Oreochromis niloticus: one gene and its partners. The protein of the gene in region 1 purifies or fractionates together with the protein of each later gene. This does not show direct contact. Links are inferred from orthologs where the notes say so. Each region holds a gene or a part of one and is shown in the gene's direction. Other genes may lie near its edges. The genes, in order: slc38a9, lamtor2, lamtor5 and lamtor1.

Region 1 (7,685 bases):
TCAGTGTCACACGAAATCTTGCAAATCTGCAAAAAAGAAGGATAGATCCCAGTAGGAGACCAAAAATACAATCTTTGTGCTTTTTGAGAAGATAGTTTGTTTTCATGAGAAAAAATTTAGTATCAAATATCTTGCACACAGAAGTTTATTTACCACTGTCAAACAAGGTTTAAATGTTTCAGTGTTTAAGAATATAGATGACTGGAAATGGGAGTAATTTCAGCTTAAAAGCAAGACTCAGCACCACATTGACAGATAAGAATCCATAAAGTATCATGGTGTTTTTGAGTCTTTGTGTCAGAAGGCTGAAAAGACCAAAATACAACTCTGGGCTCAGATGCAGACTTGAAACAACTCTCGTTGATGCAAAAACTTTATTGAACCATTTGACTTTCACAAACCAGCTTACCAATAGAGAGAGCAGCATAAATTTTGATGGTCCAGGAATGGCAGTTGTATTTGTAGTATGAAAGTTTGGAAGAGGAGATTCCTTACTTGTGAGCCGAGGCAAGACATTTGCAGGAGGTGGTAGCCAAGTAGTAGCTTCTCTCCTCCTGTTATCCCCCCAAAACCCCACCCCGTTAGATACTGTGTCTTCTTCCAGACAACAACAAAAAAAACAACAACACTAAAATCAGCAAAAATGATTTAAACATTAAAAACAAAGAAAGAATAATATAGTATCCGCAATTGCACTAAAGAGTAAAACAGCGAAATGTGGATTATTAAACATTAGGTCTCTTCTAAGTCCCCATTAATACATAAATTAATAATTTCTCAACAAATTGATTTACTCTGCCTTACAGGAACCTGGTTGAAGAACGAGGATTATGTTAGTTTAAATAAATCAACACCCCTGAGTTATAGTAATTGTCAGAATCACAGACCGAGGAGGGGGTGTGACAGTAATCTTCCACTCCAGGTTATTAATCAACTAAAGCCTCGCCCATCCTAACTGGAAAACATATTTTCTCACATGAGTATTTTTCCAGCCCAAATAAAGATTTTCCAAATTAGTGCAACGACATTTCTTCTCCAGCTTGCTGTTATCTGCTTTTAACGTGTGCATTTGTGAGTTGTACAAGTGTGTCAAGCATCTTTCATTTGTTTCCTTCTTTTTCAGAGAAGCCATAGTGTCCAAAGTCATATGCAGTGAGGATGTAACACTGTTAACAAGATAATGGACCTATGTGGGATTAAAGTTTAGCTAGTTGCTCTGCATTGGATGAAGGAATCCCTTCCTAAAGCATGGTTACAGACTTGGATCAGTCTAGTGTCTATTGTTATATAAGGATTTATTCTAAAATAAAATGAGTAGTCAGACAAAATACGGTTAAATGTTCAGTTTCTATGCAATATGGTAAATGTACTGGTCACTACAAGTGAAAAATCAGAGCATTTTCAGCTCTGCCACCTCCAGCTTGGGCTCCTTTCTTGTTGTTAGTGCCCCTGTCTTCAAACTATACATCATATCAGGTCTCACTATCATCTTGTAAACATTCCCTTTCATTTTTGCTGCTCTTAACCTTCTGTCACAAATTAGACTTTGGCATTTGTCTCTGTCCACGCCACTACAACACGCTCTTCCCGACTTCTTTTGTCTGTTGCTTTGGATGGTTGACACACAATATTTAAACTCATCCCTCTTTACTACTTCTGCTCCTTGTAGCTTCCTTCTCATTCACACACACATTTTTTATTTTGCTTCTACTGCCTTTCATTCCTCTTCTCTCTAGAGTATGCTTCTTCCTCCTCGAGGCTGTCTTCATTGTGTTCACATTAGAGATCACAATATAAACTGCAAACATCACAGTACATGGAGAATCCTGTATGACCTCATCTGTCAACCCATCCATCAAACCCTCCAGAAGGGGCTCAGAGAAGTTCCCTGTAATCCCACCCCCACCTTGAGCTCACCTGTTATTCCTACTGCACACGTCACCACCGCCTTGCCTGTCCTTTTATGGCTGTCCTATGTATGTCCTGAACCACCTGCCACTCATGACTTCCTCATACAGCATCATAATTCCTATCTTGGCATGATATACTTTCTCTAGATCAGTAGTGTCCAAACCCAGGGCTCGAGGGCCGGTGTCCTGCAGGGTTTAGATGTGTCCTGGATCCATCACAGCTGATTTGAATGGCTAAATTACCTCCTCAACATGTCTTGAAGTTCTCCAGATGCCTGGTAATGAACTAATCATGTGATTCAGGTGTGTAGACCCAGGGTGAGATCTAAACCCTGCAGGACACCGGCTCTTGAGGCCTGGAGTTGGCCAAACCAGCTCTAGATTCTACAGGGTGGGCCATTTATATGGATACACCGTAATAACATGGGAATGGTTGGTGATATTTAAGTCCTGTTTGTGGCACATTAGTATATGTGAGGGGGCAAACTCCTCAAGATGGGTGGTGACCATGGTGGGCATTTAGAAGTCGGCCATCTTGGATACAACTTTTGTTTTTTCAATAGGAAGAGGGCCATGTGACACATCAAACTTATTGGTAATGTCACAAGAAAAACAATGGTGTGCTTGGTTTCAACGTAACTTTATTCTTTCATGAGTTATTTACAAGTTTCTCTTTGTTCACAGCCATTGGCATGTCGAAGAGGTTAACACGTGAGGAGCGGATCGGAATTGTGTTGATATCTGGTGAACGCAGTAACCGGGTCATTGCAGCAGATTTCAATGCAAGACACCCTACGAGACCACCCATCTCCCATGCTACAGTTAGCAAACTGCTTGCTAAGTTACGTGAAACTGGTTCAGTGTTGGATTTGTCAAAATGTGGACGCAAGAAAACTGTCACTAATGAAGAAACATCAGTGGCTGTCCTAGCTTCATTCAGCAAGAGCCCACAGCATAGCACTCGCTGCATGTCACTGGAGAGTGGCATTAGTCGAACATCCCTTCAGCGGATATTAGCTACTCACAAATGGCACCCTTACAAACTCCAGCTACTGCAGCATCTCAACGAGGATGACCCAGATTGGCGCACAGAATTTGCAGAATGGGCAAAATAAAAATTGGAACAGGACCCTCAGTTCATGCAGAAGATTTTGTTCAGTGATGAGGCAAACTTTTATGTGAATGGTGAAGTTAACAAACAAAACCACTGCTATTGGTCTGACACTAACCCACATTGTATGGATCCCTCCAAGACTGTTGGAACAACAAAAGTGATGGTTTGGTGTGGCATATAGGGTACAACGATAGTGGGTCCATTCTTCATCAATGGAAACCTCAAGGCCACTGGATATTTGAAATTGCTACATGATGATGTGTTTCCCTCTTTATGCACTGAAGCTGGCACATTCCCAGAGTTTTTCCAGCAAGATGGTGCACCACCACATTATGAGTGCCAGGTCCGAGCATTCCTAGATGAACAGTTTCCTGGAAAGTGGATTGGTCGTCGTGGGCCAGTTGAATGGCCCCCAAGGTCTCCCGATCTGACCCCCTTAGACTTTTATCTTTGGGGTCATCTGAAGGCAATTGTCTATGGTGTGAAGATACGAGATGTGCAGCACCTGAAACTACGGAAACTGGATGCCTGTGCTGGCATTTCTCCTGCGGTGTTGCTATCAGTGTGTGAAGAGTGGGAGAAGAGGGTTGCATTGACAATCTAGCACAATGGGCAGCACATTGAACACATTTTATAAGTGGTCAGAAACTTGTAAATAACTCATGAAAGAATAAAGTTACGTTGAAACCAAGCACACCATTGTTTTTCTTGTGACATTACCAATAAGTTTGATGTGTCACATGGCCCTCTTCCTATTGAAAAAACAAAAGTTGTATCCAAGATGGCCGACTTCTAAATGGCCACCATGGTCACCACCCATCTTGAGGAGTTTGCCCCCTCACACATACTAATGTGCCACAAACAGGACTTTAATATCACCAACCATTCCCATGTTATTACGGTGTATCCATATAAATGGCCCACCCTGTACTGTCTGCTGCCCTCCCTCCTGGACAGCTCCATACCTCCACAGGTATGTCATCTGGACTAACCACCTTCCCAGCTGCTCTCATTTCAACCTTAATCCTTGGCACTTTTTTTTAACATTCAATTATACTTCCTGGGTGATTTGTTTTACCTGTCCTCCCACCTGTTGCCTGTTCCCTTGCCATCCTCTGTCAACTCTGCCCCTTGTCCTTTGTTTGTCCTGCCACATGATTGTGTCTTCCCTCTCAGTTTTCCTCCTTTAAGATTTGTCATTTTTGGTTTTCTTGTTTCCCTCTGGGGCTGTAACCAGGAAGCAGATTCCACATTGAATTAATTGAACTTACTCTGATCAGCTGTTCTGGAACAGGAAACAGTGATAGGTACATGATGCTCATGGAGTGTGTAGCACATTGCCCTTATTGTGTCGACACTGTGTTGACATGTTGCTTAATGGCTCATTTATTCCGATTTTTTGATACCAAATACACATAATACAATATGTCAAATGATGTAAAATGCAGAATTTACAAAAACATGTTTGCAAGGAAGTATAAGTAAAAAAAAAAAAAAGAGAAAATCAAAGTGAAAATTTTGTTGCTAGGAAATATAAGTGCTTGTGGCATTGGGCGTACTTGTGTATGTGAGGGGAAAATGCAGGGTTAAATTAACCCAGACTGGAGAAAATGTCCCTTTTCTCATTTTCTCTTTTCATTGTACAGTGGGTGATGGCGAGCTCCTCTCAGCATGAATGGAAATACGTTGAAAGTTGCACTTCCCGATAATAACAATTCTCACCGCTGTACGACACATCAGCTGAATAGGTAACTTTTGAATAGGTGATTTTTCTTTCAGCTACACACCCACCTATACAGGGTTTCGCTCTTTATGCTTGATGCACGCACCAATCACTATGAACCTTAGAGTTGCCAACGTCAAAGTTAACCAGGAGCTGATCTACATAGGTTTTCTTAGGGTGGCATGGAAATCAAATGGGGTGGCCATTTGTCATTTTACAAATATGCAGGTGTTATATTCTGTAATATGCATTAGAAAAGTAAAGACACACACACACACACACACACACACACACACACACACACACACACACACACACACACACCAATAAGGCCGCCCTTTAGTTTACCTCCCCTGTTTCCGAGTCTTGCATTTGGGTTCTACTCCACCTGCCACACAGCGAGCCTTGACAGCTTTCCACCATCCCTCCTTCTCTGTTTTCTTATTATATTCTTAATCATTCTAACCTGATGCACATCCTTTCCATCTCGATTCACCATGTAGTTTCCTGGGGCAGTGTCAAAATGAGACATTGTCCTGGCCTCAGACAAATCTGACCAAAATCAAGTTGACTGTTGCGCAACTGTTGCGACAACAATTATTTGCAGTCACTGGCCATTAACTTCTAAAGAGCTGTCATGCTCAAACCTTAAATGGCCCTATTCTCATAGACAACAACTGGAAGCAATACAGACAGTTTGAGTTGCTTGATATTATCTATTAAACTGAGAATCAGATTTAATTACTAATTACACCTTCACTCAACTGATGGTGCCTGAATGCCGACTTTAGCCCTTTGTTCTTGCTGGGCATAACCAGGCTTGGCAAGCTGTTTGAAAAACTTAAAGGCAAACATTAAATGGTTTATGTCGCATTAGAAGTCCAGAAATGTGGTACACCACTGTAGAAAATATACAGTGGCGACCCCTAACGGCAGCAGGTAGAAGGGGAAGAGGAAGGTGGAGGGCGGCATAGCGTTCGAAGAGTATTGTCCGGCCTAAATACATACGAAGAAGAAGAGGAACAGGAAGAAAAGCAACATCGTCACCAAGCCTAGTACGAAGACTGCTGACTATTTGTAAATTAAGTTCTTCTTCCTCTACGCCGTTGCTCAGCTCATTAGTCGTGTACAAATATTATTCAATTATTATTTCTTATCGGAATAATATTTAGCTGATGTCACCGGTGGTGTTAGACTTAAAAATGAATAACAACTGTGTTGATATTTGATTTCACTTCAACTTTCGAGGTGAAACAATGGCAGAGACAGCAGAACTGAGATGAGCTGAAGACCCGAGGAGAGGACACTTCACTGCAGACTGTGAGTTCTACAAAGAAGCCATGCAAGCCTAGCATGACATCCTTTTTTTTTTTTTTTTTTTTTTTTTTTTAAAAAAAAGGAGTTTAGATATGAAACGTTGCCATTCAACTACCAGCCTTTGCTCTCGTTAAGGTGTTTAAAGTGTCTGAGCTTTGTTGTACGTGACTTTGAGTCTAAGAATCTTTAAAACTTCTTTACACTTAGTACGTATCTGTGTTGAAATGTGGTTACAGAAAGAATTCACTATGGATTATTTGTGCCAAAACCTCAGACAGTCTCAGTATCGACTTGTTACTTTGTCCAGAGAAATATTTGTGTTGTCACGTGCATGGCGGAACTATGCCTATAAGGTTAAGTCGCTAAAGGCAGAACAAAAAGCTCTTCCTAAGAAAATGTGAAATAAGTGTGGCGATTTCTTGCATATAATGCAAAACAGAAATTGTACAATTCTAAAAAGCTTGAAAATTGATATTTGGTGTGAAAACACATTCCAAAGCTCCTCTTTGGATGTCGGCTGCCTTTTATTCCATTCTGTTAAGACGATCCTGCACCGCTTCTGTGAGGTCCGTGCTCTGGGAATACCATCAGATGGCAATATTTGTGGTTCCAAGGAGACTTTCTGTCCTCTAGAAGTTTATGTGAATTCTCTTTCTGCTGAGTTTATGAGCTCACTCACTCGTTTTGTGTAAAGTAAAAAATAATTGTGTTTGTAAGGGTAGCATAGTGGTTAGCATTGTTGTCATTCAGCAAAAAGGTCCTGAGTTTGAATCCACCATCTGGTAGAAACCTTTTCATGTTGGTGTGAGTTCTATTTTTGTAACCTGGCTTCCTCCCACAGGCCAAAGACGCAGAATGGGTGGAAGTCTGTTTTGTAAATCGTGATCATACTATATTTCAGAATCGAGGATTACCTGTGAAATTAAATCTCAGCCATTCTCGCTGGTTACAGGTTATTAGGTTATTAGCTAATGAGAGTGTGGATTAATACTTCTTCCTCCAAGAAAGCTCATCTTGAAACATCAAACATTGAACTTGAGAAACCAATAGTTGATGTCCATCTCTTATACTCTATGGTTTGGGATCATTGTGATATTTGAAAAATAAAGCTGCAGCTCTAGAGCTTCCACTTATGTTTTACAGTTGGCTGTGCATTCTTTGTTGTACTGCTCTCCTGACCTCCTCCATGCATATTTATGATGATATAAACCAGAAACCTGAAATTTGGATTTGTCAACCCATAAGACCTGTTGTCACTTATTTTTCATGCAGGTTTTGTGTATGTTGGCATACCTCAGCCTTTACTCCTAGTTTCTCTTCCTTAGGAATGGCTTCTTAACAACGATCCTTCCACTGGCTCATCCCTTGAGTTAGGTGCTTTTTTAATGGGATGATTCATAGGACAGTGTTAAGTGGCTTAACAAACAATAAAAAAGACATTCCTCTGAGAAAGGCTAGGTGCACGAATTTAATTAAAAGTGAGTGAAATAGCAGCCAACACCAGAAGAGAAACTTTGAAAGACTTTCAGAAAGGCTGGGGAGCTATTGCTCAAAGAAAGTCTGGATCATTGGGAGCAAAATATGAAGAATTGTGGAGTGGCTGAGAAGTTTTATATAGCTG
Region 2 (7,386 bases), on another chromosome or scaffold:
AAAGGCCACAGACTGACTGATCTTGATAGGTCTTTAAATGTTTGTACAGATTGTGGTGTTTGAGAAGGTGTTCCCTAAAATCCAAGCAGTCATCTGAACAGATTGTTCTCTTCATAAAAACAGGGTTAAAACTGATAAGATTACGGGGCATTTTAGTGCAGATCGAGGATTTGAGTAACTCCAGTGAAGGTAGTGTTTGCAAAGTTTAATGAAAAGCGATACAAGTCTTTTGTTCAGAGAGGGAGGTGGCTGATGACTAAACTTATCACTGACTGGGTGTAGTGCTGTTGACCGAGCTTACTGAGCAGATCTGTTGATAATGATCACCCACGCTTTGAAAATATCGAACTATTTACTGACCTTTTGCACTGTAAGTGAGTCCCTCTATATGGTCTTGGCTGCTTAAATGATCTTTAAATAGATATCTGGCAGTTCAAAGCATGTTGTTTTAAAGACATGTTTATTCAGTAAGATTGAATGACTAAAATCAGTATCTTCAGTGAGAATATACAGAGTAAATTGTCCATAGCAAAAGCAAAATTCTAACAGGAAAAAAAACAAGAATGTTGAAGATCAGGGTGAAAATGATGTCGTAGCTATTTGGGCAGAGAAGAAAAATACAATAAATGTCAGCTCTTACAGGTTTCAGAGAGAACTTGTACCAATAAAATTAAGACCTTATGGTAAAGGTCGCTGTAGTGTGGCAGACTCGTTAGGTTGGCCTTGATTTAGAGTTGATGTTGTAGGAAAGTTGTTCTGACTGGACTCGACTGTTTATTCTTTCAGTTTAATCATCCTTTCTTTGTTCTGTTGATAGGAAAATGAACCCAAGAACAACTTGATTAGGTAAAATGTGTAGTAGCAGAACATGGGCAGGCTTTCTTTGTTCTTCAGATCAGGTGTAGAAGGTCACTACTGTGACAGGAACACCCAAGAATACTTCACCGGTAGAAGCTCGGTTCCTGTCCTCCAAGAAGAGAAATAATGTGTTACTAAAGACATTCAGAGTGATCCCAGTGTTTGTAATTTTCCATGAATATGCAGAAATCCAAACTTTTAGCAGACACTGATTCTGAGAGCACTGTTGATGCTGACCAACCCAAGACTCGTATATTGCTGGATGCAAGCCAAGTCATACAGATTCAAGGAGCAGGTACCAGCTGGACCTCTAATGTGTATTATTATTTAAATCAGGAAAAGAAAAATGTTATGTATATACCAAGATTTTTGTAATCTTATCAGTGTTAGACATGAAATTGTTAGAATCAAGGCTCTACATGTCAAAGTGAGTAATAAATAGGCAAATTAAGGGTCTCTTTAATATTGTAATATTGGTAAACATGGGATAGCAAGCGTGGTAAAAAAAATGCTTAAAATCTGTTATGGGGCATATTTTACAAGTGTGTAACAGGACACTGAAAAGGAAAACAGAGAAAACGGTTAAAACGCCATAAACACATACACATTTATGAGGGTCAAAGACAGCATAAAGGATATTACTGGATAGGACTACTGATGGTCTTCTAATTTTGTTTTCTTTGAAAATTGAATTGAGGTATTCAGTCTAGTGTCAGGGGGACGGTTCATGGGGCAAATGACAGGATACCCTTGGGCAGATTGCAAAGCTCATCAAATAAAAAAACCCACAATTTTCCATGTGTTTTTTCACAAATTTGCATCTGATCTGAAATCTGATATTTTGTGATATTTATATTTATCAGAATATCTGATATTTTGTTTAAAATGTGTTTTAAAAAATTGTATTAAAAAAATTAAAAAATAATTTTCTTAGTGATTTTGCTCCCTCACGACGTCCATCCACTCACTCCCTTTCTCCCAGGCCTTTTTTTAACCTTCACTGACCCTGATGCATGCGTTGTGGTCTGTGTGTGGTATTTACAGTTTTTTGTAATTGGTTTGGCGCAGTTTTCACAAGCAATTGGTACATTTTCAAAACTCTTCGTACTTATATCACAACAGATCATCAAAAGTGCACCTTTTTCAAACATTTCAGCATATTTCCAATTGTGTTAGTACAATACACATAATGACAAAATATCCTTTTCACTACACAAAATAAGTGTTTCATCTAAATAAATGTTTCGTTCACAGTTACTGCCTTTCATAATGTTATCACTACAAAATTTTTGATTTGCATCTCTTATCATTCAGTTTAATACATTTGTCTGTCATTCAATTCAACTGATCTTAATGTTTAATCAATGAATCATTCATTATGTCCATGGATTTTCAACTTGACTGATTGTTGTCTGGTCATTTGTAAGTTACACATGGCTGCAAGAGCTTTCAATCTAGAAATACTAATTGCTAATTGTTTCCCCCCTGATGATCACAATTAGTTACCATATAAGTAGAACTGTGTTTGAGACTTTGCACTGTTCAAATATGGAGCAGGATAGACTCGTAGGGAGAGGAAACCTTCATCGAAGAGGTGGTGGTGCTCCTCGACAGAGAGGTGGTCTTCAGAGAAATGTAGGCAGAAGACAACGCACCATCATCTCTAATGAAGTCCGGGCCATCATTGTTGACCATGTGGTTAACAGAGGCTTTACCATGGCTGAGGCTGCCAGGGTGGTACAGCCTAATTTACAAAGGTCAACTGTCAGCTCTATCATCCAAACTTTTCGCCAAGAAAACCGGTATGTCTGCTATAGCAACTTCACTTCTAAAAAATAGTACCCTATTGTATAGATGAACAACATGTAATTGTCAGTTTACAGTAATGTAATTTGTAATACTTCAATATTGACAGTATATGATTGTCAGAATTAACAGGAGACAACCTGGTGGTGGTCGCCCACGTGTTTTGACTGACCAGCAGGAGTTGGCTGTGGTGGAAATGGTCAGGGCAAGGAATGACATACGGCTGTCTGAAATCAAACAGGCTGTTGAGAACAGCAATGACACCTTTGCCAATGTGCCATCAATTAGCCTTCCAACGATTGCCCGGCTTTTGAAGAAGCACCAGGTTTCCATGAAACAAATTTACTTGGTTCCTTTTGAGAGGAACAATGTCCGGGTGAAACAACTGCGTTCAGAATATATTCAGGTACAACACTAAACTGGCATGCAATTACTGTAACAGGACGCTGCTGTGAATCAGCACAAGTATATTTTCATTGATGAGGCCGGTTTCAATCTGGCAAAAACTAGATGCAGAGGACGTAACCTTATTGGACAAAGGGCTACCATCCAAGTCCCTGGACAACATGGGGGAAACATCTCAATGTGTGCAGCTATATCTGAAGATGGTGTGGTAGGCTGTAGACCAGTTCTAGGGTCATACAACACTGAACACCTGAGAGTGTGTGGGTTTTTTTTTTTTTTTGTTTTGTTTTTGTTTTTTGTTTTTTTTTTAATGAACTGGAGCAGGCCTGTCAGGGAGAAGACATCGTCTATGTTGTTGTGTGGGACAATGTCAGCTTCCACCATGCACAGCTGGTTCAGGAATGGCTTCAAACACATCCTCGCTTCATGACCCTCTATCTTCCACCATATTCCCCTTTCCTCAACCCAATTAAGGAATTCTTCTCTACATGGAGGTGGAAGGTGTATGATCGCCATCCCCATGAGCATGTCTCCCTTCTTCATGTGTGAAGCTTGTGGTGATATAACTGCTGAGCAATGTCAAGCCTGGATTCGTCATGCCAGGACATTTTTCCCACGGTGCCTGAACAACGAAGACATCCACTGTGATGTTGATGAAAATTTATGGCCCAATGTTAATGACCGGCTTGATTAATTGTGTAAAAGTGATAAGAATAAAATAACATAAAAATATATTATGCTTATGTAAATGACTTGTTGTTTTTCTCCCTTTTTCGTGTGTGTGTGTCTGTGTGTATGTATATGCGTGTGTGTGTATATATATATATATATATATATATATATATATATTTTTTATTTTTTTTTATGTCTGAACATAAGTATAATATTTGCTGTGTACAGTTTTACAGTTCAGTTACACTCATTCATCACCAAGGACAATTTGAATCGCTTACCTTGTATTATTTGCTCCTGAATGAAGTGATTGGTAAAAGTACTAAGTTGAAAAAAGAGCTTACTGTTTTGTTTGGGTGATTAAAGCAAATGTTCTCAAAATATATCACAGTGATCATGTGTTCTGATACAATGATTACGTGGAATGTAAATATGTGCAAATGCAATGAAATCATGACATCAGATTTGAAAGAATAACTAGTGGTGTTACAAATGTGAGTTTTGTACTGAGAGATTTAAAAATGCACACTTTAGTTATGAAAATGGTGCCAAACCAATTTTAAAAAAAAACTGTATAAAAGAATTTAGGGGTGAAATAAGGTTTTGAAATACCTACATTTCCCGTGATGCATTGCGATCGGACCCGGAAATGAAAACCGAATCAGCTGACTTGGTTGTGTGTTTCTGAGCAGTTTGGGCACTTTAAAGCTCCTCGTCGCGTCCCGTAAACTGAATAAGTGTTATTATATTTGATCTCTTATATCGGAGGGTGAACAGCCATGTTACGGCCGAAGGCGCTGACGCAGGTTCTCAGCCAGGCGAACACAAACGGAGTCCAGAGCACTCTGTGAGTACGGCGAGCTAGCCGCAAGCTAGCCACATGCTAACTGCTGCTGGAGTTTCAGCGGTGCATTTTTTGACGATTACATATAAATTTAAAGGCAATACACATGTTAAGTCTTCTGAATATTCTCTAAAACTGAATATAACCCCTGCGGGACGAATAAAATGTTATTATATCAAACAGTGTGTATCTTGCATAGAGGAGCTGCTGATGTTTCACAACCAGCACAGTCTGTTTGGAAGTGTTCAACACAAAATTCAAGTTACTTTATTATATAGTCAGTGTGTCTGATCATTATCTCAGTCTCAGTATAATGTCCCAAATAATTGATATAGGTTCATGTCAGGCATTTCCCCCCACAGGGGTTTAATTTCCTTAAGCATAAAATAAACAGTTGTTTGTCAAATTTCCAAAAATAAGTAGGTAAACAATGTTGTCCTAATTTTATATCAAAATAATATACAATTACAAACTACAATAACTGTGTTTATGTAATGGTATATTCCACCAAAGAGGAAAAAGGGCATCAGATATGTACTAAAACGATTTTTTTGTGTGTAAGATAATACAGACTGTGACTATATGTTGATCAGTTGTGTTTACGCGAGTTGGTGTCACCAAAATTCCTCTTTGAAAAAGAAAAAGAAAATCACACCTTTAGAATCAACAACTCGTGCTATTAAAATTGTGCAAGTAGTCATCACTATTTTCTGTCATGAGTTAGTATATGACACCACTTATATATGCTTTTAAAGGGAATAATAATAATTTAAAAAAAACCTTTTGCCACTGCAGGGCTTCTTTATCCTTCAAGCTCCCGGACCTCTACCAGAGGCCTGGGAGCTTTTAGGGTCCTGCACAGTATCTTTGCTGCTCCTAGGACTGTGCTCCTCTGGACAGAGATCTCCGATGTTGTTTCTGGGATCTGCTGGAGCCACTCGCCTAATCGCACCGAGTGCTCTGTTACCACTGGGACCACTGTACATATGGTGTTTTTGTCCTGACTTTCACAGTAGTCCTAAACTACTTAAACAGACTTGCCTAGTAAAATGGTGTAGTAAGAAATCCTATACAAATAAAATACATTTTCGTGTAGTATACACCTTAGTTAGAGTATATATTATGTTTAGTTGATAACTTTGTCTGTGCTCTGAAAGTTATTATATTAATTTAATATTAATCTGCTGGTTATGTGGTTTCTCACCAGCTTACTGAATAATGAAGGCTCACTCCTGGCGTACTCTGGGTACGGGGACACCGACGCTCGAGTGACAGCTGCTATCGCCAGCAACATCTGGGCAGCTTATGACAAGAACGGCCATCAAGCCTTTAATGAAGACAAACTCAAATTCATTCTCATGGATTGTATGGTAAGACATGCTGTTCCCCCATCTTTTATTACTTTTTTTTTCAGGTATATGTGAAAGATTTGTGTGATGTGGGAAAAAGTGGAGCCATCATTAAGTAATAAACTGAGATACTGTGGTCTTCTTGCCTTTAACATTGTCGTTCTCAGGAGGGAAGAGTGGCCATTACTCGTGTCGCCAACCTGCTGCTGTGCATGTACGCCAAAGAAACGGTGGGCTTCGGGATGCTTAAAGCCAAGGTGAGAGTTTAAACTCCTGCCTTTTCATGAGATAATGTTTCATATTCTGAATGTGGATCATCAACAACCGTTACTGTTTCTATTAATGATTTAGGGCCAGGTTTGAAAATACTGGAAATTTACTCATATAAAGTAAAAGTTCTCTTTGTTGTCAATTTGTGAGTTGTTTTTTTAAGTTAAAAAAAAAAAAAGAAATTTAATTAATTTACAATATTTATCAAATCCATAAGTAGTTAATTATATTATTAAGCATCTGAGACAATAACTGATTTCCCATCATGTTTTTTAACTATTTTAAGTGGACTTTACATGCACACTAAGTATTCTAGTCAAATCTAAATGGACAGGAAAAATAGAAACCTTAACATTTTGAATTTGGCAGCCGGCCGGTGTCTGTGACGCAATTGAATCAACAGTTTAATATACTGATTCTGTAACTGACAGTTATTGCCTATCATGCTTTTCGAAAGCCTGTGAAATGTCACTAAATACTTTAATTTTCTCCGACTGGCAGGTTTAAATTCAGTTTACTGTAAAGTTTTAAAAAAATCTTCTTAAATCAGCGTAAACATTGTAATGGTAATAAGCAGCTACTGAAAGTATTAACCTTCTGCTATTGTCAGTGCCTGTGATTGAATATGAATGATCGCTGTACTTTTATGTCGCTTTAAATCATATAAAAGCACTCACATGCAAAAACCAAATAAAGAATAAAGACTCTTATTTTGAGCCTCCAGACCAGCTGAGAATGGATTTAATATTTAAACAGCTGAGGGTAAAGTGTGGCTCATTATTTGTTTGCACATAAATACAAGGAAACAATGAGGATTTTTATTTATTTTTTTTTTAGCTTTTTGTGTTTTTAATTTTACCTCCACTTTACTTCAGAGTTCTTTCACGGAGGCAGAGGATTTCTGCTAATGAAGGAAGTTCAGCAGTTGGATGTAATTTGGCAAAACATGCTTTTAGTTTAACAAACGTCTGACTCAGAAGTAACAGTGAACTAGTCCTTCTTATGAGGAGTTCAGTATGACTGAGCTTTGTTTTTGTTTGTTTTTTTAAGACTCTGTGTCCGTCTTTTTGAATGTGCATCCAGTTTTTCTTTGCCACTTTTCCCAGTCAGCATACCCTTCAGCTAATCTGCTGACACAGCCTCCGGAGGCTAACTAGTCTTGTGTTGTATTCAGGACGTCAA
Region 3 (7,725 bases), on another chromosome or scaffold:
ATAAAAACAATTCTATTGTTGCCAGTAAATCTGTTTCATCTTCTTATATGGCAATAGATATAGAGTTTATCTTTTCATATACATAATTTTTACTTATTGTAATAGAGATACCCTCCCATGTTTGGACAGCGAAATCCATTTTATTTATTGCCTGTCATCTCCCTAACCCATTTACAAATGAATAGCATTCAGGGGGCTGAGATAATTTCCTCTGATTTTTCCAGTTAACTTAAAGCGGGGGAGGATATGATCTGTCATTAGTCATTTGTAATGAAATTTAACAATATTATCCAGAGAAGTGATCTGTTCAGTTTTCATGCACACAAAAAAACACAAGTTAAAATAAGTTAAAATATATATATATATATATATAAGTATATATATGTATGCATATATACATATATATATATATATGTGTGTATATATACTTCAGTTCAGTGCCCCATTCCACTTTCCATTTGGAAAGTGGAATGGCGCACTAGTATATTCAAATAATTTTTGTAAAAAACCATATATATACATACATATATATATATATATATATATATATATATATATATATACATATATATATGGTTTTTTACAAGTTGTATGTTGCAGAACAAAAAAAAAGATTTTCTGATAATGAAAATATAATGATAGAAACAGACATTTTAAATATTTTTATTGATTTTTTAAAAATGTTTTGAATATACTAGTGCCCCATTCCACTTTCCATTTGGAAATTGGAATGGGGCACTGAACTGAAGTAACAGTTACAGTTATAATAGACACAATGTAAAATGCACTTTCAGTATGACAACACACAGATTGATGAGTTGATTAAAATACTTCTCTAGTCTGATAAATCAAAAACCTTAACATTGAGTTGTTCCATTAGAAATTCCATCTTACCCCTGTGATAACGGCTCCTCTGCACCAGCTCCCAACGGACAACAGGAGGAAGGACAGCAGCACCTCCCTGAAACCCATGACAGCAACAGGAGAACTGGACTCTCTCAGCACCCCCAGCACCACACAACAACTGTGAACTGTCTCTGTGGCACGTCAAGCTGGTTCCCCGACTCTTCAGCCACTCCTCAACGTTTACACAACTCCTTAGAGAGGGCAGCCTCCCTTTCTCCTTCTCTTTATCCACCTGTGACCCCCCCACCCAACACTCTCCCCTCCCTCTCTTCTTTCCTCCCTCATGCCAGAAAAATCCCCCTTACACCCCTTCTGTCTGTCTACTCAGAAGCTCTGTCATCTCACCTATCCAGATGACAGCTTATGAAGACTCACTTTAGGGTTCAACTACATCGTCTCTGGACCGGGGCTGTAAGAGTTTCCACCAAGCTAACAAAAACAAAAGGACCAATTCAGTAGTTGATGAAATTTATACAAACTAAAATAAATGTGACACGTCTGTGGAAGAAAGGGCACAATCCTGAGCTATTTGTCAATCAGAAGTGATCAAGACAAAACAAATAAAAATCAAAGCCATCTAATGAGTTTACTGACATTACCACATTACTGACTTGTGGGTTGGTCTTCTGGTAAAACACAGAAACAGGAACGTGATATTTCTTATTTATCACATTACTGTATGGTGTGTGTCATGATGCTATGTGTTTTAAAGAGGTTTAAATTAATGATTAAAACCTCTCACCACGCCTCACTGAGACGTCTTACGAAGCTACAGTGCCACTAAAGCGATACGAGAATAGGAATAATGAGTCTTAATGTCTCTGAATTATGGTAGTCATGATCGCAGTGATACATCAACTCTGAGTCAGGGTCTATTTCAGATCCAGCTCATTTGCAGATTTACTGCAGCTCTAATGTATAGGTCACGAATAACTGGATTTATACCAACCTCTGGTTGTACAAGATTAAAGTGTGTGTGTGTGTGTGTGTGTGTGTGTGTGTGTGTGTGTGTGTGTGTGTGTGTAGGCCTGTTCTGCTATCTTTGGAGGACAAATTTTAATTCCAGTGAGAATTCAGTAAAGGTTAGGGTGACTGGCTTTGCTGTGACGGCGAAGGTTAGGGCAATGGGCTTAAGGATTTAGTGTTTTATTGACTGTCCTCACGAAGATAGCAGGAGTTACTGTGTGTATGTGATGTGTACGTGATACATAAGCATACATATGTGGCATATAAAGCAGGCTGAAAATTGTTCCATATGCACAGACTTATACTTGTACATGCGTGTGTGAGTACGTGACTGCTTGGACAGTGATGAGCAGCTGGTTGTCAGAGAAAACGGGCAGGCTGTGATTTAAGTTGCGAAAAGAGAAATACGAGCGAGAGAAGACGAGAGCCAAAGACAGAAAAAAATTAGAGGGAAGGAGGGAGGGGGAGAGCACCCCTTGGGTTACTCAGCAGGACATTACCCTGCTGCTGCGCAGGTGATGGATTCCTCCAATGCAGTGGCCATATAATTACATTCACCCATTTTTGCCCTGTCAGCAGGAGCACTGAAGCCAAGCCATCCTGGGACAGGCAGCAGAAATCATGTGGAGGTGTGCCCAGAGGCCTCACACTAACTTCTAAAGAAATTACATTAACAAAATCTGCCATCAAGAGGGTACAAGAAACAAGATTTCTGTTTTAAACCCAAAGTATTATTGCTATATTTTACATGCAATAAAAGCCATTGTTACCGTGCTTGTATTTATTATGCTGAGTCATTCTGTTATGTTACATGGATGGTGGAGAGGACTGTGTTTGGAGAGGTGATTTTACTTCTCAGTACCGAGGAGCACCTTTGACACTAGAGTTGTTTTAGGCAACCTCAGCTTATTTGTGGGTGTCGAGTGACTGCTCCATAGGAATACATTGGGAAGTGGATAATCAATAAATATATTCAGAAGAAAAACTAAACTAATCTGATTTTATATTTATGCACCTCTGAGTACCAAAATCAATTTCTAGTGGAGGTGGGCATGAAGAGAGTAACAGATCAATGATGAATTATAGAGCAGCAAGGTTTCATTACATAACCTATCTAGTGTAGAAAATTACTTCAGTGAACGAGGACCTCGGCACACGGAAGACTGTACTGAATATTATACTCATGAATCAAACACTTTTCGCAGAGTGGGGAATATGAAATCTCATCATGATATAAATGTCATGGTCCTGTGTTTTGTCCATTGTTTGTTTTTTGTTCAGTATTTGGGTTTTGAATTTTTCCTTTTTATATTTGAGTCTGGAATTTTTTTTTTTATATATCTATATTTTTTACTGTAATTCTCCAGGGTTTTTGTTTGTTTGTTTGTTTGTTTGTTTATTCATGTTATGCAAAGATTGTTTTTTCTTTTGTTTCAGGCTCCTGTTTAGTTTTCATGGTGTTTTGGATGCCTTTTAAAATGGGTAACAAACCTACTGCTTGTTTTGGATCTTTATTTAGCTTCAGTTCCTAGTTTGAGTTATTTCTCATGCGTTAAGTTTTTCCCTCCCTCCTCCAGTGTTCCCTTCTCTTTGTCTTCATGTTTAATATGAGCTTTCCTGTTTCTGTGTTTATTTGTAGCCTTTGGACTATTTCCTGCTTTAGTGTGATTTATTTCCCTCTGATTTCCTGTTTTTGAATCTTATTTTCTGTCTGTTGATTACTTTCATCTTTGTCATGTTGGTGTTTTGTTCCCTGTTCATGTGCTTTTGTTGTCTTCAGGTCTCCTTGTATTCTTTGGACTTTGTGCTTTTGGACCTATTATCAGCTTTCTATTGAGTCCTCTGTATTGTGTGTCCTGCATTCTGGCTTCATTGCACACAAAACGGTGACATACACTCCCTGGCCACTTCATTAAATATGCAAGTTTGATGACTCTTTATTTATTTAGGCATGTAGACAGTGGAGATTACATTTTGAAATTCAAACTGGGTATCAGAATGGAGAACAAAGATGATTAAAGTGACTTTGAATGTAGCATAGTTTTTGGTGCCAGAAGAGCTGTTCTGAGTTTTTCAGAAACTACTGATCTACGGGGATTTTCCTGCACAACCATCTCTAGGGTGTAAATAAATGGTAAATGTTAAATGGCCTGTATTTGTATAGCGCTTTACTAGTCCCTAAGGACCCCAAAGCACTTTACACATCCAGTCATCCACCCATTCACGCACACATTCACACACTTGCTAATACAAGTTAGAAAGATGCATTAGCAAATATAGATCTATATAGTCACAAACTCTGTGCTTTATATGAACGTAAGAACGGCCTAAACATTGCATATATTATGAGTTAGCTAATATGGAAGTTAACCCCATAGAAAACAGAAAAGGCAAATGCAAGCAGGCAATAGATTTAAAACTGGGGAGTGGGAATCATCATTTTAAATGTCAGAAATAAATTTGTATTTGTAATTGATTTTTTAAATCCATTTAGTGATGTCTCTTTTATAAATTGCATTTTCAAAAAAGATTTTGAAAAATTTGATTTTAAATTTGGCATTAAAAAATGTTTTTTAAAATTAAGTTTTTATTTGTTAGTTTAATGCCATTTCACTTTATATTTATTTATGATTAGTCCTTTTATTTTCGATTAAATTATCAAATAATTATTGACTTTATTAACGCCTGAATGTCCAATAAATGAATGAGGGAATGTATTTTAATGCATCATTCATCATTAAATCACGAAACGCTTTATTTCAACGCTTTATTTCATGACTCACTTGGTCCTACATACATGACAATATTTTAAGTCTGTTGTATATTTCCGCGCTTCGCATATTTTGGTCCTCATATGGACCCTTAGTTCATGTGACAGTCAGCTGACTCTACCCGGAAACGTTGAGGTAGCAGACAACAACAAAAATACAGCTTCATTGAGCAAACTTCGATTTAAGTTATTCGCGATTGATAACAATGGAGTCGACCCTCGAACAGCATCTCGATGATACGTAAGTTAAAACCACTCTAGCACTGAGTATATGTATTACGTTTTTGTGACCTTTAAAGCGACTTTCGCTCCTTCTGTGTGTTTGTTTGTGGCAGCATGAAGAATCCAGCAGTGGTTGGTGTGCTCTGCACGGATCAACAAGGACACAACCTGGGCTGTAAGTGAGGAAATCTCAAACTAGTTCACGTTAAACTGGCCTTTTACTTGTCAAAGTGCACTGGTGTCGCTGCTCAGATGCTCAAAGTTACGGGTTATTTAGCCATAAGTCATTACGCTTTGGATGGGAGAGAGTACCGAGTGGTGTTGTTTTCACGAAAACATTAAGTTGTTATTGGTTAATACAGGGATACAAATAAGCATTTAAAGTAATACATAAGACAATATGAAATAGATCCAAGGGCAAAAGGAAGAATTCAAATAAACAAAGCAAAAATACAAGTATTAATTAAAAAAAATCCACGTTAAGCTCCTTCATAATAAAAAAAGGTTGTGGGCATTTCTTTGGAAATGTGGGGATTTTTTTTTTTAACCTGCAATCTGTTAATTGTTGAAGATCAACTGCCATACTAAAATTTCTACCTAAAGCATTCATCATAATGGGTTAGGGACATTTGTCACTGCATGAAACAGAAACATACACTTATATCATTATGAAGGGAAAAATATTCAAAAAGAATAGAAGCTTCTCAACTTAAAATCGTAGTAAAACTATATTATATACTGATCTGAGTATTAGCACTGTACACACTGTATTTGTAGTCAAACGTAATCATTAGTTTTAGAATAATAAGTTATCAGTTGTTATTAAACCATCTACTACTAATACATTATTCTAATACAATAATAAAATACAATAATTAAAAAAAACTTTAAGTATGTTGATGGAGAATTAATTTTCATTTTGCATATAAGTCAAGTGAAAAAGAGTTAAGCACATCTTTGCTGCTTCCACAGAAATTAAGAGAGTAAGAAGCAGCCAAATGTTAATGAAAGACGATTAATTAAGAAAGCTGAAATTTTGGGAATTTGGTCTGCAGTATTCAGGTGTGTGTTAACACACGATGCCACAATCTTCCCATGAGTGGATGTCCCATGGTAAATATGTTAAATGTCAAACATCATGACAGTACAATTAGAAGAAAGCTGAACGAGATGGCTGCAGTGTGCTCCACCGAGTCCCGTGAAAACGTTCTTTTTTTACATAACCTGCTCCTATGCTTGCTCTATCAAGGATTAATAAATGTTTTAGTGATCCCTTGATTAACTTTGATGTAGCTCCTGTAAAAATCATCCAAACTTGGGTACAAATGTTTCAGACGGTATTTTTCAAATGTACAGTGGTCCCTCGTTTTATCGCGGGGGTTACGTTCTAAAAATAACCCGCGATAGGTGAAATCCATGAAGTAGCCAACTTTATTTTTTACAATTATTATAGATGTTTTAAGGCTGTAAAACCCCTCACTACACACTTTATACACTTTTCTCAGACAGGCATGAACATTTTCACACTTTTCTCTCTTTTTTTTGTTTTTTTGTGTTTAAATACTCTCAAAGTTCAAACATTTGTAGAAAAATAAGTCCGGTATTATAGAATGAAACCACAGGTGCCTTTGACGGTGCAAAACGTTTCGTCGACATTGTTGTGTTTGTTGGGGAGAAAACGTACAAACATACAGTACAGCACTTCCGAGTCACACTGCTAGCGATTGAAGATTTATGTAAATTTGACAAGCTGAATGCATTCTGTACTGTACAGGAGACCTGGCACGGAGGAGATTGATTGACAATGGTCTACAGATGATCAGGACACAGAACACAATGCGCTGTAAAAAAAAAAAAAAAGAAGAAAGCATGCAAAATTGCACAAAAAAAAAAATCCCCAAAACAGCAAAGCCGCGAAAGGTGAACCGTGTTATAAATGTAAACATTTTACTAGGTTTTCCTCTGATATAAAAAATTGCTGCTCTTTAATAACAAATTGTATATCGTGTATGTTTCATTCAAGAACATAATTAGCATATTGATAGTGGTATAACTCAGCTGGAAGGGTTATCACTTACACCAGATTATGTGCTGCTTTATCAGCATTTGTGGATTTTAGTACATTTCACCATCAGACTTTCATATCATTGAAATACAAGTAGACTCTCTACTCACAGGCTCACTTTTCACTGTGATGGAATGTCCACTTTGTAATAGTTGTGTGTATTTGAAGTATATGCTTCAAAACAAACAAAAAAACTTCATTAAAATATTATGAATAAAATCTTACTGGCCAAAAAATTTTGCTGTCTGACTCTCTGACAGCTTTCTGTATTTATTTGACTTCTTCCTACGATTTAGTTGAGTAGATTCACAGCACTCTCATGTCTGCATAGTAAATATGAACCTAGAGCCAGCGGCCACTTAACTTAGCATACAGACTGTCTGTCCTAACGTAACAAAATCTACAGTCAAATCCAACTAATTATCCACTTAATGCTGTATTCTGTTCATTTTTGTTCATCTTACAAAAACTGAAGTGCAGAAACAGCAAATTGTGTTTTCCAGGGTTTTGTGTATCTTGATCTGACTTCTTGACCAGGTGCAGAAACTTCCTGGATTGTTGCTAACACTAGGCCTGGAAACACCGTGAAGTTAGTGTGCTTGTCCGAAACCGTGGATTTGTTCCTTCAGGGATAGCCTGGTCTTCCTTATCAACAAAGAAATGTGTTAAAATAAAAAAAAATGTTGGTTTGACTCCACAGCTAGAAGCTAGACAGCATGAGTTTGTTAGATGCATGATGACCTCAGAGGGAAATTAATCAACACTGGTTTGAGTGGTTTTTTTGAAAAAGTCTTTT
Region 4 (7,012 bases), on another chromosome or scaffold:
CACAACTCTGTGCACTGACCTTTGGGCACCTCCTCGTGCTTCGCCTCCTCTGTTTCCCGCCCATCCTGCTCCTCGGATACGGGGATGCAGAGCTCGGTTCCGTGTGGGAACCGGGTGCAGTTAAACATATAAGGCCAGGGGAAGCCGAAGGCGCTCATCACCGGCACGCAGCCATCCCGTACGGCCTCGCACAGGTTCCTGCAGGGGCTGACCGGCCCGCTGACCTCCGGGAGACACACCGGAGCGAAGAGCGAGCATAGAAACTTCTTGGTGTCCCGGTGGCAGTGCTTGGAGATGAGTGGCAGCCAGGCTGCAGACTGCTGCTGGACCTCCCTCAGTGAATCATGGCCGAGCATGTTTGGGATCCACATGCTCCTGTAACCGATCCCGTGGCACAGAGACATAGTGCTCGGTATGGGTTTGCACACGGAGCGGAAAGTGGGTTTGAACCAGAGCGACGGTTCCGGAGGCGCGCTGTCAGAAGCGTGAGAAACTCCAAAGAGCGCAATGAAAGAGAGCAGAAAAACAGGCATCGTTTTGTCTTCAGTCTAGCGCTCCTGCTCTTCTGTCTGGACTTGACCGGCATGTAGGTGTAAACGGAGAGGTGTGGAGGAAACAGGGGGTTAATGAGAGGCCAGGCGCCTCCCAGTCACCATCCCACCCCATCAGACTGCTGCTGTCTGTCTCCACGGCAGTGTCAGTGGGGGCGTACGGATTGTTTCCTTAGTTTGGGTTGTCAGTAATGTTAAAAACATTTGTGTGCAGCGCCATAAGACAGAAAGAATAAACTTGTGCAATATTATTTGAACTTATAAGAAATATTCACCAGCCTCCAAACGTATGTGTATTGACAATAATGCACTAAAAAGAATGGAAAGTCTATCCAAATGGTGACTTTTGTGGTATGTAGACCATGAAAAGTGCACACCGGAATCAGATGATGCTCCCAGATTACCATTTTATTTCTGTTCCTGGTAAAACTGAAGTAAAAATTTCATCAGCAATGTGTCTGTGACACTCAAATAAGAGTAAGAACAACTGTGTAAATATGTCTGGAATCCAGGCCATTTTCTTGCACTGTGTTTATTTATTCATTTATTTATATAATTTAAACTGTTGCTTTTTATGCCATTCTGCTATTTGTTTGAGTCTTTTTTAATTGCTCTTATTTTATACTTTCTTTGTTTTTACAAAATATAAAAAATTGGAAATGTATGTCTAAGTAACAAACAAACAAATAAGGTAACAGTGACAGTGCAGCAGTTTTTATGTCTGCTCTAAAAGACATGAGCTTTCCTTATTGTGAAATGAATTGCTGGAAATAAAATGTAACTATCGTGCGTTTGAGAAGCTGTATGTGTGTGGTACCCTGTCATCGCACACAACCCCAGGGTATATCAGAGAGCCTTTAATCTTTCCCAGTGAGTCTGCCATATGTACAATGACATGTCTTATCCTGCCCCATCCTCCTGGACTTTGCTACAGTAGCCTATTGTAAACGCAGGAGCAGTTCATACTTGCTTAAATATTTGTAGTTTGGTTTATCCTAATTTCCTATCTTACTTCAAAGCAAAAAGAAAGAAATGCAGTGTTCAGACAAGTTAGAGTCACTCAATACAGAGTAGAGAATTAATGACAGAGGCACAGCGCTTTGTTACTTTGCCTATAGATTATTATGGACATTAAAAAAGTACTCTTCAGGGCAATACAGAACAACAAAGTGGGATACTTGTAAGATGATTCATAAGATAAGATAAGATAAGATAAGATAAGATAAGATAAGATAAGATGACCTTTATTAGTCCCACACGTGGGAAATTTGTTTTGTCACAGCAGGAAGTGGACAGTGCAAAAGTTATGAAGCAAAAATTAGAATACAATAAGAATAAATACAGTACACAACTGTACAGAATAGAATAAAATAAAATACTATATACAGTAGAATAAAATAGAATAAAATATACAATAAGATAAAAATAGAATACAAATGCTATATACAACTGAGTAAAAATACAACGATGCCAGAAAAGATTATTGCACTTAGTGTTATTGCACATGTGTGGATGTGTGTGTTTGATCAGTTAAAGTCTTTGTTGTGGAGTCTGACAGCAGTGGGGAGGAAAGACCTGCGAAATCTCTCCGTCCCACACTGTGGGTGTTGCAGCCTGCCACTGAATGAGCTGCTCAGTGCTGTCAGAGTCTCCTGCATGGGGTGGGAGATGTTGTCCAACAGGGATGACAGCTTAGCCACCATTCTCCTGTCACTCACCACCTCCACTAGGTCCAGAGGGCATCCTAGAACAGAGCTGGCCCTTCGGATCAGCCTGTTCAGTCTCTTCCTGTCCCCAGCAGAGATGCTGCCGCCCCAGCAGACCACACCATAAAAGATGGCTGAGGCCACCACAGAGTCATAGAAGGTCTTCAGGAGTGGGCCCTCCACTCCAAACGACCTGGGTCTCCGCAGCAGGTACAGCCTGCTCTGCCCTTTCCTGTAGAGGGCGTCTGAGTTATGAGTCCAGTCCAGTTCATTGTTCAGATGAACACCAAGGTACCTGTAGCTGTCCACAGTCTCAATGTCCATACCTTGGATGTTCAGTGGTTGCAGTGGAGGATGTTTGTGCCTGCGGAAGTCTACCACCAGCTCAGTAATGTAATACTCTATAATCAAGTCCAACTTAACATGCTTGGATCCAGGGAAGTCCCTTTATTGACCCCAACCTATACTGTCTCCTGTTGGTTCTGTGTGTTACATGAACTTCCTAATTACTGCCCACATATACAGAACTGGGTAATAGTCTTCAGCAAACCCATATTTCTAATGCTCTATTTCCAAAGAGCCCAACTTCTTCATGTTTATTGTAGGCTTTTAGAGCAAAATTCTTCAGTCTTTCTGAAAGTCTTCCAGAGTTTTTCTTTGTATATATGCTGCTTTTTCACTCACTTCCTTCGCTTTTAAATTTTTTTATTTATCATTTATTTATCCAGGTAAAAATCTCACTAAGATACAATTGTCATTTCCAAGAGAGACCTGTTATTTCTTCAGTACAGTCCTTGTACCTGACCATTGTCAGAGGAATGTTCTGTTTCTTAAGCCACTTAATACTGACGTAGGAATCATTCAAACATAAAAAAGCCACCTATAGCTTAAGAGATGAACCAGTGTTGTGTCTACACTTAACAGGCAATTTAGCAAAGAGTCATTAGACATCTAATCACTGCCAGCTGGTTGCAAAAACAAATAATTGTTCCCATTTAATAACTTAAATCTACTGACACAGTTTGATGGGCTTAAATTATGATTTTTGCAGGTGATTCCGAAAGAGATATTAGCTTAAAACTGGGTGTCCAGCGAGTCCTTAACAACTTTAAGGAAACTGCACAAGTGGAGGATAAAAGAAGGCAGGTCTAAAAAAAATATTAAAGCAGAGAAACAGTATCTGAAAAGAACAAAACAATGGATGAACCTTTTGCTTCATAATATTGTCAGTGTGTATCAGCAGGTCAGGAAGCAGGTACAACATGAACTGTTTATAAAATATGGTGGTGACTCTGTAAGGTTTTTGGCTGCATTTCAGCCAGTGTTCAACCTGAGGTTTCTTTCTGATATGCCCATCCTGTTCACTTCCAATTAAAAAAATAATAACATCTGCAGCTCTGCCACCTCCAGCTCCCTACTCAATAGCAGGTCTCACTACCATCTGGCACAAATCACTCAGGACACTCGTCTTCACCCACTCCATCCTGGCTCCACTCTCTTCTTCACCTCTTTTGTGCACTGTCCATTGATTTGGATGGTTGACCACAGGTATTTAAACTTATCTACCTTTATTGAATCTTCATTGTTACAAAAAACAGTACGTAAACAATGAATAAATAATGAAACCATCAAAAAGCCATATACTAAAAATGTCTTATATCAGTATTAATATATTACTTATTTATTTATCTATTTATCATTCATTCAGCTCACATTCAAAGCTTCCTCTTCACGTGACGAGGGCCGACGCCGCTTCTCAAAAACCGGAAGTGGTTCTTGTGTTGTTGGGCTAGAGCTGCTGTCATGTGATAGCTCGCTGCTGCTTCTGACAGTAGCTCCTTACCTTTAGATGAGGTTATAATACAACCACGCTGGAGACAAGTTTTATGTTTGCTGGAGAAGAACAGCACGACTGGTTTCTGACGGAGAGAAGGGACGCCGGGGTTGTGTAGTGTCGGCCGTCGGACGTTGCCATGGGTTGCTGTTACAGCAGCGACAACAAGAGCGAGGACGGGAACAAGGTAGTTAGCTGTTAGCAGGCTAAACCCGATATGTGAAAGCTGGACAATTTTAGAAGTGGAGTACCTAATAGTATATTATCCCTTTGGGCATATTTCCCCGCAGACGGTACACGTGAGTAATGCGTGACGACGTTACCAAGTGGTCGTTTTCTAGCGGTTAGCAGCTTGCTATTGTAAGTTAGCCTTTGGGTAGGCCTTTTATGAAGTACAAGCCAGTTAACTTATCAAGATGAAAGCTTTAGAAAAGCTTTAACAGATCCACAGGCAAAGAGATGTGTTTTAAGGCTTTGTTTATGTTCTTTTCTTATATAAAGTGGTTTTTAAGCGAGGTGAAAAGTAAAGTGTTGCGAAATGTGTTAGGACAAACAGCAAGGTGAGGGACATTTGGGATTTTATTTTCATGTAGTCATATGACCCTCAAGATTCCCAGCTATTTTTAGTTTCGAGAAATAAGTCAGTTCTTCCTTCATGCATCTTTCCTCATAGCAGTTTAAAGGAGCAATGGGGACAGAGTGAAGATCTATAGTTTTCTCTGCCTGCCTGTGTTGTGCTCATATATTTCTTTTAGACTGAAGAAATGACTTTTGGAGTATTTGTAAGAGCACCACAAGTTCCAGAAGTCATACTGTGTGCGTTGTTGCATTACTATAATGAAATTTAATGTATATTTTTGGCTTTCTACCCCCCCCCCAAAAAAGGGTTAGCTAAATTTAAAGTGGTCTCAACTGTCATAATTATCTTTGATTTAGAAGGAAAAAGAAGTAAAATTTCATGACTTTTTTTAAGCAGGAGAGAGAGCCGCTGATCTCCCCAAACCCTCCCAGCAAACCACTAAATGGCGGGACCAGCTGGAACCCTGGCCCTGGCTCGTCAGCACTGTCAAATGAACAGGCCCTCCTTTCATCCATCCTGACAAAGACGGCACAGTAAGACGCTCTTTAATGCAAACGTAGACATGCCACTGACAATAACGCAGGAGTGTCTGTGTAATAAACATGCCGTTATCCCCTGTACATCAGGAACATCATTGATGTCTCAGCAGCAGATGCCATCATGGTGGAGCCGCACGAGTACATGGACAGAGCTCGACAATACAGGTATGCAAAAACACGGTTTATAGCTTGATGGGTTTTCTTTACTGGCTGATAATAATTTTGGTTGGTGCTTCAGCATGTTGTTTGATTTCTACCAAATAGAGCAGCCTTGTTTAGACTAAAACACAGGCTAAACTCTAGCTCCTCAAAGCACAGTCTACTGGTTTAAGAGAACTTAAATAGCAGCACAGCTAATTTCTCTATGTTTTTCTCTCTTCAGTACAAAGCTGACTGTATTGAGCACCAGTCTGCCTCAAAACAAAGCCCTCGCTCTCCCCTCCCTCACCAGCCAGCCCCACCAAGTACTTGCGAGTGACCTGGTGCCATACTCAGATGTTCAGCAGGTATCCATATGTGTAACATACTCTGAATGGGGCTGTGTGATTCCTGCCCAGAATCCCCAGTCGTGTCATTTTAAAGACAGCTGAGCAGTTAGAATTTGACTTATCTTTTTTCTTTGCAGGTGTCTAAGATAGCAGCCTATGCTTACAGTGCAATCTCTCAAATCAAAGTGGATGCTAAAGAAGACTTGGTGGTCCAGTTTGCCATTCCCTGATTCTGCAACTGTGGCCTGCATATCGTTGCTCCAGTCCCACTTTCTTCGTGTCACTCCTGCATCCTCAACCTCCAGCCCCACCCGTCATTAAAACATTTTGGTCCTCCTGCTTTCTGCTCTAAACTGCTTCAAAGACAGAGACAATGTAGGGTCGTACCCTGTGGCTGTCCTCGAGTGTAATTAATTCAGTGACAAATGGAAGATGGGTTTGAGCTCATATGTGCATCAGCGAGGCCTCCAGCTGTGGAAATCAACCTTTTTGATGATCTCTTAAAAAAAAAAAAGAAAAAGTTGTCCAGGGGTGTTTTTAGTTTCTTTGTTTTCTAAGAATCAGAGCTAGCTTGTCACCTTGCTGATATCTATGTTGGACTCACCTGGGATAAAGCTGTTGGATTTTTGGCACAAAGCTGTTGGCTGTTGGTTAATACAATACATTTGATAAAATCTCCACTGAAAATAAGGGATCACTGTGGCGTGGAATATTGCAAATAATCATTGCACCACATGTCTAATATTTTATTTACCAGGGTAAAAAAAAGCAAAACAAACCCCCAAACATGATTTAATCTTTACGCTTCATATATGTTTAGCTCTGTTTAACATCCTTGATGTCACCAGACATTCTTCAGTCTTTATCCCTGAGCAGCAAGAAGTATGTTAAAATTAGCACCAGAAAAAAGGAATGACACACTTTTTCTGCCAAAATTAAAACGTTATCATTTAGTGAAGTATGCTGGCAACCATACACAACTCACACTAACCAGGCTAGAGGGAATTTCAATGACATTTGACAGTGACAGTGGAGTAACCTGTTATTCCAGTCGAGGCCAAACCTTAAATAACCTTTCCTTGGCTGGCGGGTGAGGATGCAGCTTTTCTTGGGTCACAATTCTGGAGTTTACAGGCGGCGCCGTGTCCTCTGCGCTTATCTAGCATTAAATAAACGAGCAGGCCAGAAGTTCAAGTGTAATATTCAAAGATGAAAGTGAGTGGTTGGGTGTGTGCGAGTGTGTGTAGGGACAGATATTGTGTCTTCATGCCTTTGTACAGAATTTTCTGCTTGAATATAAAAAAACAAAACATG

The links.
Region 2: the proteins of slc38a9 (region 1) and lamtor2 purify together in Homo sapiens (co-immunoprecipitation; 5 studies listed by BioGRID and IntAct, with this or other methods). This does not show direct contact. The link is inferred for Oreochromis niloticus from reciprocal best matches to the Homo sapiens genes SLC38A9 and LAMTOR2.
Region 3: the proteins of slc38a9 (region 1) and lamtor5 purify together in Homo sapiens (co-immunoprecipitation; 5 studies listed by BioGRID and IntAct, with this or other methods). This does not show direct contact. The link is inferred for Oreochromis niloticus from reciprocal best matches to the Homo sapiens genes SLC38A9 and LAMTOR5.
Region 4: the proteins of slc38a9 (region 1) and lamtor1 purify together in Homo sapiens (co-immunoprecipitation; 5 studies listed by BioGRID and IntAct, with this or other methods). This does not show direct contact. The link is inferred for Oreochromis niloticus from reciprocal best matches to the Homo sapiens genes SLC38A9 and LAMTOR1.

The regions. Positions count from the first base shown.
Region 1 is NC_031972.2:10,544,824-10,552,508, forward strand, and holds the start of slc38a9 (neutral amino acid transporter 9), read left to right. Parts: upstream 1-4,670; 5' UTR 4,671-4,772; intron 4,773-5,671; exon of another isoform or gene 5,672-5,995; 5' UTR 5,996-6,067; intron 6,068-7,685.
Region 2 is NC_031976.2:35,941,680-35,949,065, forward strand, and holds the start of lamtor2 (ragulator complex protein LAMTOR2), read left to right. Parts: upstream 1-4,368; 5' UTR 4,369-4,520; coding exon 4,521-4,588; intron 4,589-5,792; coding exon 5,793-5,955; intron 5,956-6,101; coding exon 6,102-6,191; intron 6,192-7,386. UniProt on the Homo sapiens protein: As part of the Ragulator complex it is involved in amino acid sensing and activation of mTORC1, a signaling complex promoting cell growth in response to growth factors, energy levels, and amino acids.
Region 3 is NC_031984.2:21,035,262-21,042,986, forward strand, and holds the start of lamtor5 (ragulator complex protein LAMTOR5), read left to right. Parts: upstream 1-4,723; 5' UTR 4,724-4,848; coding exon 4,849-4,883; intron 4,884-4,977; coding exon 4,978-5,039; intron 5,040-7,725. Other genes in the region: prok1 (prokineticin-1), read right to left, coding at 895-972. UniProt on the Homo sapiens protein: As part of the Ragulator complex it is involved in amino acid sensing and activation of mTORC1, a signaling complex promoting cell growth in response to growth factors, energy levels, and amino acids.
Region 4 is NC_031979.2:11,637,451-11,644,462, reverse strand, and holds the start of lamtor1 (ragulator complex protein LAMTOR1), read left to right. Parts: upstream 1-4,008; 5' UTR 4,009-4,230; coding exon 4,231-4,278; intron 4,279-5,064; coding exon 5,065-5,204; intron 5,205-5,297; coding exon 5,298-5,375; intron 5,376-5,592; coding exon 5,593-5,716; intron 5,717-5,835; coding exon 5,836-5,928; 3' UTR 5,929-7,012. Other genes in the region: sfrp2l (secreted frizzled-related protein 2-like), read right to left, coding at 20-533. UniProt on the Homo sapiens protein: Key component of the Ragulator complex, a multiprotein complex involved in amino acid sensing and activation of mTORC1, a signaling complex promoting cell growth in response to growth factors, energy levels, and amino acids.